Canis lupus familiaris: one gene and its partner. The protein of the gene in region 1 purifies or fractionates together with the protein of each later gene. This does not show direct contact. Links are inferred from orthologs where the notes say so. Each region holds a gene or a part of one and is shown in the gene's direction. Other genes may lie near its edges.

The links. The genes of interacting proteins can lie anywhere in the genome.
Region 2: the proteins of LUZP1 (region 1) and DAPK3 purify together in Homo sapiens (affinity purification with mass spectrometry; 3 studies listed by BioGRID and IntAct, with this or other methods). This does not show direct contact. The link is inferred for Canis lupus familiaris from reciprocal best matches to the Homo sapiens genes LUZP1 and DAPK3.

Annotation. Positions count from the first base shown.
Region 1 is NC_049223.1:75,612,220-75,618,652, forward strand, and holds the start of LUZP1 (leucine zipper protein 1), read left to right. Parts: upstream 1-2,490; 5' UTR 2,491-2,605; intron 2,606-6,433.
Region 2 is NC_049241.1:55,984,022-55,990,488, forward strand, and holds the start of DAPK3 (death-associated protein kinase 3), read left to right. Parts: upstream 1-2,726; 5' UTR 2,727-2,846; intron 2,847-3,651; 5' UTR 3,652-3,729; coding exon 3,730-3,791; intron 3,792-6,467. UniProt on the Homo sapiens protein: Serine/threonine kinase which is involved in the regulation of apoptosis, autophagy, transcription, translation and actin cytoskeleton reorganization. Involved in the regulation of smooth muscle contraction.

The DNA of each region.
Region 1 (6,433 bases):
CAAAGTTGCCTGAGGGCCAATGGGTTATGTGGCAAAAATATTTGCAACAGAAATGCTTTGCAGTGAAAGTACCAAGAACCAAAAATCTACCCCATTCCTTTTACTGATGAGATTCTTGATGTGAGGACTCCCTGTTTGCCCTACTTCTGGCCCAGAGGCCAGCATAGGATAGGCCTTACTGGGAGGATGTGTTGAAGTAGTAGCAGCAGCCACTGTATCAGGGCGTGAAAAAGGTGTTAGGCTCTGAACAAAGCTATTCCATATGTTATTTCATTCAATCCTCACAGCCACTGTGTGAGATAGGTACTATTATTATTTTCTCTTTTTCAGGTGAGAGGCTAAGGGGCAGAGACTTGAAAGCCCAAGGTTACATAAGTGGCAAGTGATGGAGCTGAGATTTGCATTCTGAGCTTTTCTGTGCCAAACCTTTTGCTGTGAATGAACGAAGATGTGATGGATGGGCTCATGGATCTTGGAGAGAATGCTCTGCCTTCAGAACCTCCGCTGTGCATCCTGGGTTCTCTCTGCCAATGGTTTGCAATGCTTGGAATTGGCGTCCCCACATAGGAGGAACTCAGTACAGGCCCATTCTTTGCCTGGAGCAATCCTGTGGCCATGCCTACTTTTCATGGGAAGTGGCATTTTTGAATCTCCTCTTCTAAAAATAAGCTGCAATTTGTTAGGGGCCCTTGAGAACCAGCCCAGGCATTTCAGGACAACCATTTGCCTGTCTGCAGCTCAGGAAATTAATCAGAACCCCAAAGCCCTTTCCCTCTTCCCACAGGCCAGCACTCTGGAAACGCCCAGTGCCTTGCTGCAGCTCTCCTCAGGGACTGCAGAGATGCCAAGGGCAGTTTAACACAGATCTATCTCTTTGTAAGGGAAGTGAGAGCAGAAAGGCATGAGGGAGAAATGGGTCAGCTCTGCCGCAAATAACTTGCCGAGAGAACTCAAAGCTGTCCCCCACTTGGACAGGTGCTGAGTGACAGAGACACCCTGGGGCGTCACATGTGACTCCGCAGAATCTCCCTGGGGTCTAGAAACTGTAGTGTTGGTTCACTCCCAAGGGCAGTGTTCTGCAGGGCCACTTTTAGTGGGCCTCTTCCTCTCTCGGGACCTCAGAGTCGAACTCTATGAAATGATTGGGTGAATTATCACGAGGGGTGGTGTGTGGTGTTAGGAGCTGGAAATAATATTGATGGTGATGATGAAAGTAAGAATGACAACGACATCATTTCTGGAGCACTGTGCCTGGTGCTTTCCGCACAGTGTTCTATGTAATTTCAGAACAAACACTGCAAGGACTATATGAATATCCCCATTTTACACATGAGAAGAATGAGAGCTAGCATGGGCCAGAACATGGGTGTATAATCCCTGGGTTTTCTGGCACTACTAAACATTCGTGGTTTCTGACCTCAAGGAAGTGAGGAAGTGCTAAGAAACAGGAGGTCAATGCGATACTAGTTAAAATGTGTTCATGCGCACATGAGAGTTAAATACAGCACACAGGTATTGGATTATTGAGAACAGGGAGAGTCGGCTCCAGGTTGGGGGAATCTAGGAGGAGTTGTAAGTTGAGATGAGACAGCAGAGGAAGAGCATGAGCCATGGGGCAGATGTGGGAAAGCAGTGGGTGTGCAGGTGGAAGTCTGGATAAACTTTACAGTGTGTGTATGTCTGTGTGTGTGTATAAAGGTAGGGAGAGACCGGACCAGGCCAGGGTTTTGGCCCTTATTCCATAGGCAATAAGGAGTTTACACAAGAGATGTCTCAAGAGACCAGCTATGCTGCTATAGTCTGAGGGGTAGCCACTCTCAGCGCATCTGTGTCCTGGCTTGTGAATGCAGCTCTGTGCCAGGATGTGGGAGGGCATCCGTGGGGAGTGTGTCTGTGGCTGTGTCCTGTACCATACTGGCTGTGGGTTTTGGGGTCCCTTCAAAGGCCCCCCTCCCCACTTCTCTGGGCCGTTGGTACCTCGGGAACTGTGTCACAGAATTATTGGAGGGACTTTTGAGATCATCTGGTCATCCCTCCTTCCCATCTTAAAGAAGGTAAAAGCGAGAAACATAAAGGGGAAAAGACTTGTCTAAGGTCACACCATGAATTAATAGCAGAGCTGGGGACTGGAAGCCATGCCTCCACATTGAAGGCCTTTCCCACAATTGCTGAGTATTATAAATAGTATTCGTTGAGTGATTATTCAATACCAGGCTCTGGGCTAAACACCTTTACGTGGATTATCTCATTTAATCCTCCCCCCCCACCCCTTTCCCCACCCCCCGCCAGGAGTGCCCCTTTTGAAAGCAGGACATCTTTCTTATCTGTCATTTCGATTTCACACCGCGCCTAGCACAGGACCCGGGCACTTAGGCAAGCCGTAGAAACTTGGCAAAATCCAAGTCCTGGGAAGGAGGAAAAGAACGGAGGGGGCGGGGCGGATCGGCAGCCCCGCCCCCACGACAGGCCCCGCCCCCAGGGCGCTGACGTCACCATCTGGCCCCGCCCCTCATTGTCAGTCCCGGGGAGCCCGAGGAGGCGCCGGCCGCCGGGAGCGGAGCGCTGGACCCCTCCGCGGGCGGGAGCGCGGGCCGGAGCCGCCGAGGTGAGGGGTCGGCGCGGAGGCGGCGGGCGCGCGGCGCGGGGGCTGGGGGGGCTGGGGCGGCCGGAGGGGGCGGCCGGAGGGGCGGCCCGCCCGGGCAAGGGGTCGGCGCACCCAGGGGCGCCAGGGCAGGACCGGCGGGCGCACCCCGGGGAGGGCTGGGGGGGGCGGGTATGGAGTTGAGGCGGGGGAGGGGGCGGCCTTGGAGAGGAATTTTGGAGAAAGGGCTCGGAAGGGGAGACCTTCTGGGGCGAGACCTTGAGAAATTTTTTGGAGTTGGAAATTCTTCTTTTGGAGGGGGAGGGAAGGATCTGCGAGAGTTCTGGTGGGAGTGAGGCTCCGGGAGGAGAAACGTTCGGGGCAGAGAGCCGAGGGGACGTTTTCGGGAGGGGGAGGGCGGAGGGGAGTTTCGGGTCGAGTTTGGGGTCCGGCGTGGGGGGGGGCGGGGAGGGGGCTGCGCGGGGCCCGCGGGCACCCGGGGAGGAAGGAAGTGATCTTACAGGAAGAGCCCGGGAGCTCCCGAGGAGGAGGAGGAGGAGGAGGAGGGGGGGGGGGGTCGGCCGGGCTGCGGGAGCGGGCTGCGGGGGCGCGGGCCGGGGGAGGGGTCCCGCCGCCGCCGCAGCTGTCGGCCCGCCGCGCCGGCCCGCGTCCCGGCCGATGCTGGCCTCGCAGCCAGACCGCTGGGCCGGGAAGGAATTCGAGGCATTCGCTTTGTTTAAGTTGCCAGTAGACAGTCCTTAGGACTAATTAATGGTGGAATCTGCAGGGGGACGCGGGCGAGCCGGGCCGGGCCGCCCCTCGCCGCCCGCCGCCCGCCCCCCGCCGCCGCGGTGAACTTTCCGCAGCGCGCGCCGCCCGCCGCCCGCCTCCCCGCGCACCCCCGCCCCTGCGCGCCGGGAAGGAGCCATGGCTGCCCCGAGCGCAGGAACGAAGTGCGGCCTCGGGGGCCGTGGCCTCTGGCTGCGGAGGCTGCCTGCTGCGGGGGAGCCGGCCTCCCGGGGCGGCCGGGCTGCGGGTTCGGAGCCCGCGTGGGAGCCCGCAGACGTGCCTGCGGTTTCTCTTGATGACCTTGGAGAGGAGGCTCTGCGAGCCGAGAAAGACCGTCTTGCTTTGGAGCATCTGTTTCTCCGTCGCGTCAGCCCCTTTCCTAACCCTGCAAGCTTGTTGTGGCTTGTTTCGGAAATGCCGAGACCAGTGCTCACACTTGAGGGTGGGAGAAGGGAAGAAGGGAAGAGACCGGGCGCCCCCCCCCCCCCCCCGCTCCTCTTCCACCGCCCCCCCCCAGTCCCCCCATCCACAACCCAACAGAAAACCAACCCTGCAGTGTGATCTCCAGAAAGCCAGGGATTGCTTGCAGATTCTCCGTCGCACCTTCCTTCACTGACTCGAATGACCTTGGGAAAAGAATTGTGTGCTTCGGAGCTCCTGGTTGCCTTATCTGTTGATTGGGGAGAAAATATTCTCTGGACCTCCCTGCCTTTTGGGGACGTTTGCAGAGGTTTTTTTTTTTTGTTTTTTTTTTGTTCAGAGCATTTTAAGGACTGCTGCAGTTCTGGCCTGTAAGGAGCTGGACTCGTGTTGGGGGAACTCAGATCACCTAGTAAGATTTTATTAGATTAGGAAGGGAGGGAGAGGTTTGGATTTTAGGAGGATATTTCCCTTTGGAGAATCTGTACGGTATGTTCCAGATTGTTTTGTCACTTTGTGTGCAGCTTTGGTAGCATTCGTGTGGTTAAATTAAGTAACTCCCATAGAAAAATTCTTCTGTCAGAAATAATTATTTTTGCTCAGGATTCCCCTTGGGGCAGATTAAGGTTTTGCTCAATTTACTCAGAAGAATTTTCCAGGTTTCTAAAATTAAATCACTTTTCTAAACATAGTAACTAAAGTTTGAAAAACTGGAAATAGTGGGCTGGGGAAGGGAGTTGATTAGAGTATGAACAAGGCAGCAAGTACAGGTTCATTGTTGTACTGTCATTACTAACAGGGATTATGAATTAGCCTCGATTAATAGGCATTTTCTTACTCCTGAATAATTTAAGACCAAGAAGGGGAGCTTAATTTTGGTGAGTTGCCTACTCTGTGCCCAGTAATTGTGCTTGGTGGTATATATCTCATAGAGTTTTCACAACAATGCTGTAGGTCATAATTGGCATCCCCTGTTTCACATATGGGCAAACTGAAGGTCAGAAGGTAAAGTGACTGCCCCAGGTTTACACATACAGATGGTAAGAGGTGGAGCTGGAATTCAAACCCAGTCTGTGAGGTCCTTGGTTATCTCCCATTATGCACACTGCATTAATTTCTAGGCCTTTAACTCAGCCACTGGCTCACCTTGGACTGTAGAATAAGTCAATTAGGTCCTTTCCCCAGTAGTATTGCCTTCTTTTTCTTCCAGCAATGTTGTCAGTATGCTATTGAGATGTTTTTGTGCTAGTGGTGTGTCCTATATACTGTAGGTGTGTATATTGTGTGTGTGTATGTATATATTTATATATCTATATATCCCCCCCCCCCCAGAAGCATTTGTGTTGAAATGCAGAGTACTTGGGTGATCATAGATTTCACTTATATAATGGAAAATTTGGATAGCTAATGGTCCTTCCACTGTAGAAGCCATAATTAGGGTGACATTCATAATCAGAAGCTGAACCATTTTTCATGTAATACTGGCTTTTTGGGATAGTGTCAGCTTATAAGTAAAGCACATTAGTTACAGGTAGGACACAGTCAAGCTGAAAGATTTGGTATAAACTTTGAAGCACATAATAGATGCTCAGTAAATACTTGCTGAAGAAACACTCTTTTTTATTATTTCTTATTATTGTTTTTTAAAAGATTTTATTTATTTATCCATGAGAGACACAGGCAGAGGGAGAAGCAGGCCCCATGCAGGGAGCCCGATGCTGGACTTGATCCTGGGTTTCCAGGATCACGCCCTGAGCCGAAGGCAGTGCTAAACCACTGAGCCACCCAGGCTGCCCTCACTTTTTTTTAAAATTCAGCTTTATTGAGGTCTAATTTACATACGATAAAATTCATCCATTTTAAGTGTGCAGTTTGATGAGCTTTGACAGATGTACACAGTTGTGTAATCACAACTGCCATCTTTTGTTTAAACTGTTTGTTTTTTTTTTTTTTTAAGGTATTGGTTAGCAAAGTAATTCCTGGCAATGTTACGAAGTTTCTGTGTTCCCTAATTCAAACTATTGAGATCAGAGTGAGTTAGTATGCTAACTCTGTAGGAAATAGGGAAACCTTAGGTATTTATTGATGAGGTGCATGAGAAGAATAAGATTGGTAGAGATAGGGGTATACTTGGCAGATCAGGGGAAAGAAATTCATGAGGAACCAGGTTTTCATTTTAGGACAGGGCTGTCGTTGGCGGAGGGTTGGGGGGGTTGCGGGGGTGGTGGTGGTGGAATTACCCAAAGATTTATTAAGGAGTTGAACTTTTATTTTTGTTTCCTTTTTGAAATGGTATCTCCTGAAATATAAAACTTAGCATCTTTGGCTGTCCCTGGAAGTGCTTTACCCAGTGTAGTTCAAATAATGCTAAAGGGTGGGGATGCTGTAAAATAACTAAAGGCCTTGCCCTTCCACCTGGGTCAGAATATCCTTAATGCTTATCTCTAACTTGTTTTAGCTAATATCCCACAAAGGCAATACATCAGGTAGAAATTGTCTCTTTCTCAGAAGACATAAGATTATTGTTTCCTTCTCATAATTTTTTAAAAAATTGTTTATTTACTTATCTATCTATCTACCTATTTATTTATTTATTTATTTATTTATTTATTTATTTAGAATTATTTATTTGAGAGGGGGGGA
Region 2 (6,467 bases), on another chromosome or scaffold:
TTGTTCTTATTTCAAAACCTGACATTGCTTGAAGGGCACGTGTGTTTTTTGCACTTTTGTAAACATTTATTTTTGAATAATTTTATATTTACAGAAAAGGTGCAAAGATGTTATAAAGGTGCGCTAATTGACTGTTTACTTGGTTTTCCACTAAAGTCCTTTACACAGTTGCAGGGTCCAATCCAGGATACCTCACTGCATTTAGTTTTGCACATTTTTAACATCCAGCAATTTGTCAAAAGATAGGACTGTAAATTGAAGAGGAGACTGTTTTAAGTTTTAAATTCTAAATTCATATGTCACTTGGGGTGTTTGGCTTGCTAACAGCAAGTCTAGTTGTGCATTTTCAGCTGTAAATTTCAAAAGGATTACATTTGTAGGGGCTGACCTGACTTCATTATGTCTTTGTGTTAAATTATTCCCAAGCATCAACGTGTTCAAGTATGTGTGTGTGTGGGTGTGTATTGTTGGCTACATGTTTTCCTTTAATCGATTTTAACTCTTGTCCCTCTAGGCCAGTAGTTCTCAACCTTTTTAGTCTCTGGACACCTGTATATTCTTAATCATATCGAGGACCCCAAAGATCCTTTTTGTTTACATGGGTTTTATCTACTGATGCTTAACCATGTTTAAAAATTTGAGAGATTTAAGAATAATTGTTTTAAAGATAATAAACCCATTGTTTGATAATGTTTTTATGAGGAAAAGAACCTTCCAAAAAATTAGTGGTATTCAACGTTTTTGTAATCTTTGAACTCTCTGGCTTAATAGAAGCCAGATTATCACGTCTGCTGTGTTAAGTCTATCGTGATAACGTGGTTTTGGTTGGATTCTATGTAGCGTATCCAGCTTCATTCCTGTCCTTGGAGAAGAGAAGCACTTTAAGAATTGTTCTCAGGTGGTTGGTGTGGGTATTCTTTGATACAACACCAAAAACTCAAGTGGTAATTTAATTATGTGGTATCCTAAATCGTATCGATGAGCTTTTCATGCTGTTAATTAAACTCCATTGGCTCCATCTTGCACTTTGTGTCCTTTTCCCATGCATGCTTTTGTAACACCATGCATCAGTTCCTTGGAAATACTGGTATACGACGTTTGCTGTTTTTCCAGTGGATACATTTCATTAAATACTGAAAGGTCACATTCATGGAACAGTTTCATCAGGGAAGGGTTGAAGTATCAGGAAATCACTGTCAAGTTTTGGATTTTTTTTTCTACAGTGGTTAAAATTTGACCATTGGCAACAAATCCTGTCCATTGTTTGCCTTTGTGATAAGGTTTTTGAGAAAATGCCGTATACCCAAGTCTAATTTACTATATTTTATTGGGTTATTTCGAGAAAAATGATCCGACTCTAAGTGTGGTATCTACATAAGTTAGTTCCAAAGAATACGGCATGGGAAGGGGAGAAAAGTATTCTGGAGAAACCTGACGGACGGACACTACCTGGAACCAGGTGACCAAGGTCAACGTGAACAGCAATATGGTGATAACCTGGGCCCATGATACGGTGTCATGAGAAGAGGACTTGGTCTTCCTCCCTAAAACCCATCACCCCAGTCTATGAGAATAACAGACAAATCCAGTTGAGGGACATTCTACAAAATACCTGACCAGTCCTTGGAACTGTCAATGTCACTAAAAGGAAAGTGAAACGATGAGGACTCTTAAGGACTGAATATGTGGGATCCCGGATGAGATTTGATACAAGAGGATGATGATGTTCGGGAACACAAATCTGAATAAACGATGGATTTGGTTATGATCATGTATTGCTGGTTCACTAGTTGTGACAAGTGTGCCATAATGTAATATGTAGTTGGCAATGGGTGTGGGAGGTACTTTAAACAAGAATGGAGAAAGGCGATCTCCAGGCTGAAGGACCAACTTGTGCAAATACGTGGGTGGGAGTGCAATGTTTGAAATCGGAAGGCAAATGAGCTTGGAGTGGGGTGAATGAGGACAGAACAGCATGAGGTCAGGATAGTCGGGGACGCTCAAGACTTGGGGTCTTTAGTCACATGGCATCTGCAGTGGTGCAGCACCGGCTTTGGGTTCGGGTCTTTCTGGGAATGAATCTCAGCCATGACATTGTGTGACTCCCAGTGAGTTACTTAACCTCTGGTCTCGGCTTCCCCGTCTGTAGAACGAGAGAAATGTTAACATACGTTACCTCCTAAGATTGTTGCGTGGTTCGTACGAACTAGCTGCTTCATCCCGTGTCTTGAGACAACAGGAATCAGAAATGTCTCAAGGATGAATGGCAACACCTGACCGGCCTCATCTGCATTTTTGTTTATGCATTTGGGATGTGGGTAACATTTTACGGAGGGGGAAACTGAAGTCAGGGACGAAAGCCGTGCCTGGGCCCACCCCAGGAGCGGTCGTGCGGGAGCGCTTTCGCGTATCTCGAGCTCTAGGAAGGTAAGAGGGATGCAGAGGGTCAGCACCGAGCTCCTCGGCTTCAGGACCCAGGTCAGAGGAGAGTGGGCGGGGCGGCCCGGGGCCGGAAGTCGGCCTTCCGACTTCCTAAGTGTGCCCGACGTCCGCCCCAGCCAATCGGCTGCGGGAGGGCGAAAGTGTCAGCCAGTGGCGAGGCGGCATCCGGGTTCGGAGGACCGGACGCCGGCGGGCGGGGCCTGGAAGGCGGCCGGGGGCGGGGCGTCACGAGCGGCGGGGGCGTTGGCCAATGGGCGGCGGGGACCGCCCCCGGGGGGCGGGCACTGGCGGACGCGGTGACGTCGACGCGGGTCGAAGCGTCCCGGTGGCCGAGGCGGCGGGGCTGAGGAGGGCGGCGGTAGCCAGCGCGGCAGACGGCGGGCCGGGGCGCGGGGCCGCGGAGGGTGCGGAGCGGGCGCGGCCGGCGGCGGCGGCGGGCGGGGGAGGCCGGGGCGGCTCTTGGAGGCGCGGGGGCACGTCCGGGGACCCGCGGGCTGAGCGGGCCGGTGAAGGGGCTGGTCGGGGCTTGCGAGGGGCGTGGCGGCCTCCGGGGCGCTCCTAGCGGGGGTTAGGGCTCGGAGACACCTGCGGGGGGTCTGCCCCCGAGCTCGCCCCGGGGTCGGGGCAGAGGGCAGAGGGCAGAGGAGGAGGCTCTGCGGTGTGGCCCTTTGCGGGTGGGGGAGACGGCGTGGGGGCCTCCGCGGGGGAGCCTTCGGGGGCGGGGCGCCGGGGGCCGGGGCGAGGGGCCGGCGGCGGGGGCTGGCGCGAGCTTGACGGCCGGGGTCCGGGGGGAGTGGGGGAGGGGAGCTGCGGGGGCCGGCGCCGCGCCGACTCAGCAAGTTGGGCAGGCGTGCGGAGCCCCGGGGCTTAGGGTGTGCGGAGTGTGGGGGAACTTGCAGGAAGGGGGGGCTTTGGATGAGCAGGTCGGGAGAAGCCTGGGAGGGAGAGGCAGAGAAGGGCTGGGGCGGCGTGAGGGGAGCCGGCGGCGTGGGCCTGGGGGAGGTTTCGGGGCTAAGCGGGCACAGTGGGGTTGCCACCAACATTTTGGGTGGTGTGGTCACCGAGCGGGATAACAGGAAAGCACCCCGGGCGCCACATGCACGTGCCCTGGCCGAGGATCGGGGAACTTAGTTTTGGGGGAACTTAGTTGTTCCATTTAGGAGTAATGGCTGGTGTCTCACTTCTTCCCTATTTCCCTGTCTCCTCCAGGTCACAGCTCAGGGACTCCCTGAGGTCCTGTCGCCAGCCTTCAGTGAGAGGAGGGCACCAGAAGGCAGGCCGCCCACCATGTCCACATTCAGGCAGGAAGACGTGGAAGACTACTATGAGATGGGGGAGGAGCTGGGCAGGTGAGCAGGGCCTGTGGCCGCCAGGGCTCCGGGCATGGGCAAGAGCAAGAGGCGCTGCGGGGGTTTCCAGATCGCATCCCCCCTCCTGTCCTTCATTCCCCTCTCCAGCGCGAATGAGTCAGTGGCATGTGCTGGCGGAGGGAATTTAGGCTTTGGAGTCAGGTGGCCCTGACCGCACGTTCTTGCTCTGACCTTCTCTGTGCATTTCCTTCGGGGAAAAATAGAGTGGAACGCATGGAGCGCCTACCAGAGCGCCTGGCACGTGACATGAGAGCGGTAGGTGGTGGCGGTGTTTGTTGGTAAAGGTCTGTCCCTCTGTTGAAGCCTGTCTTGATTGAGGGAGGTGATTGATTCTCGGGCACGTTTGCAGGAGAGGCCTCCTGTCTGGGCCCACGTCCCTGCCAATTGTTTAGCATTCTTGTGGGAAAGCGCGGAGGTTTCCCATTCCAGCCAGGCAGCTGATTTCCTGTCTGGCGGGGCCTTGAGTGTCCCCTGAGAACACCCTGCCTCAGACTAGCCAGTCACCATCTCCTCCCCACCCCACCCCCCCCTCCAGCTTCAAACCTTATTTGGTGAGTTCTCTGCTGACCAACCCATGATGTCACCAAAAGGGAATGTAAATAACTGAGTCGTGCCTCAGGCCTTGGCTGAGAAAGTGTTTCAGGCTCATTTGGGATTCTGAAGTCTCTCCTTTAGGAATTTCCTTAATAGAGTCGTAGAGAATGTAGGGTCCCTCACCCCGTCCCCTTCTCTTCCCCCATGCCCCCTGCCCAATCTCATCCTTTACTGTTGAAAATGTGTTAGGTTCTCCTGCTGAGGGTGGCTTGGCAAAAGTCAGCCAGTGTCCCATGTAGATTCCCCTTAATTCGCCAGCTCCACTGTTAGGAATTAATTCAGCGGGAATACATGCATATGCAAACCCAGTGACCCAAGAACAGGGGTGGTTGCTGTAAGGATTGTATATGAACAAAGGGCGGGGAGCCTCTTCAGTGGTCCCCCCAGCACCACTGCCTCTGTGGGTGGAATATTACGCAGCCATTACAAGGATCCAGGCAACCTATATGATGTTCACCACCTAAGAAGTGTATTGAAGTTTTGTAGTAGCTGTGTCAGTTTTAATAGTTTTAATATATTTTATTTAACCCAATAGATTGAACTATTACATTTTGCTTGTAATCACAATAAAAATTATGAATGAAAAATTTTACCACCTTTCTTTTTGATATGAAGCTTTTGAGGTCTGGTGTGTGATACACACTCAGAATACATCTCGGTTTGGACTGGCCTGTGGGCCACCATGTGGCTGGTGCCTGTCATCTTGGACAGCACTGCTCTGGTGATCCCAGTTGTGCTCAGAGAACCATGAGGTGAAGGGTTCAAGGGACAGGACACTGTGAGCACTGTGCTGCAGTTTGTATGAGTTACGGATGTCGTTTTGACGTCTGAATTCTAGTCTGTCTTTATGTTTTGTTCATCTGCGAAAGGACCTACGAGGCAGGTGTGCTTACCCTCCCCGTTTCATACAGGAGTGGAGGCTGAAAGGAGGGAAGCAACTTGTCCAAGGCCATGTGGGGGTCAAGCCTTGAGACCAGGCCCTGCTGGGTGCAAAGCCCAGGCATTCTGGAATCAGAGGTGAACATTAGGCTTCCGCCTGCCCCCCTGGAACAGGCCCATTAGAGGTCCCAGTGAAGAGCAGCCCTGCACGTCAGGAAGAGCATGCATCCTTCTGCCCCTGAGAGCATCCTCTCCCATGCTTGCTCTGCACTTTGGCAGGTGGCAGGTGGCTGCTGCAGGGAGCTCTCAGTTTCAGAGGCAGGCAGGGTCTTCCCTGAGGCCAGTTGCTGATTGTCTTTGGGGAGTTAGCTGCCAAGCATCACCGTGGCAACGAGGACCAGGACTAAAACAGGGCGACACTTTGTTGTTCCAGGGGGATGGGGCCACATGAACTGGAAGCAAGTTTCTTTGTGTGTGTGCTTGGGAGGGGTTGGGGAATTCTTTCTTCCTAGTTCACATTGATAGTCTTGGGAAATAAATAATTAGTCTGTGGTCGACAAGTGTGGACTTTCACCCTGGCTTTGCCTTGGTAGAGTGATGTGTGCACCTGGGCTGGCTTGGGACAGGGGGCCACGAACCAGAGGTTTATGCTCTCCCGGGCCTGGAGGCAGGAGGCACAGATCAGGGTGTCACTGGGGCTGATTCCTTCTGAGGTGCCTCTCCTTGATGTACAGATGGCCATCTTTTCCCTGTGGCCTCCCAGGGCTGTCCCTCTGTCAGAACAAATCTGTTCTGCTCTCCTCTTAAAAGGGCTTGGATTAGATTGGGTTCAGCCTCTCCTGTGAGCTCTTTCTAACTGAATCACCTCTTTAAAGGCCCTGTCTCCAGATAGTCCCGTTCTGAGGTGCTGGGGGTTAAGACCTCAACATGGATTTTTGGGGTAACACAGTTCAGTCTAGAATAGCATCTTTTTACCTGTTTCCATGAGCATTACTGCTCTTCATTTGTTAGCTCAGCTCAGAATAAAGCAGGGAAAAATAATCCATACATTTGAAAATGAGGCCCCACGTCTAGCTCGAAGCACAGTGCCACTGGTATGAGGTGAATGTTCGGCGTTCAATGGCATTACCATCAGGAGTTTGTCATGGGACTGGAGGTGGGCCTGGAAAAATTAGCTTGGCT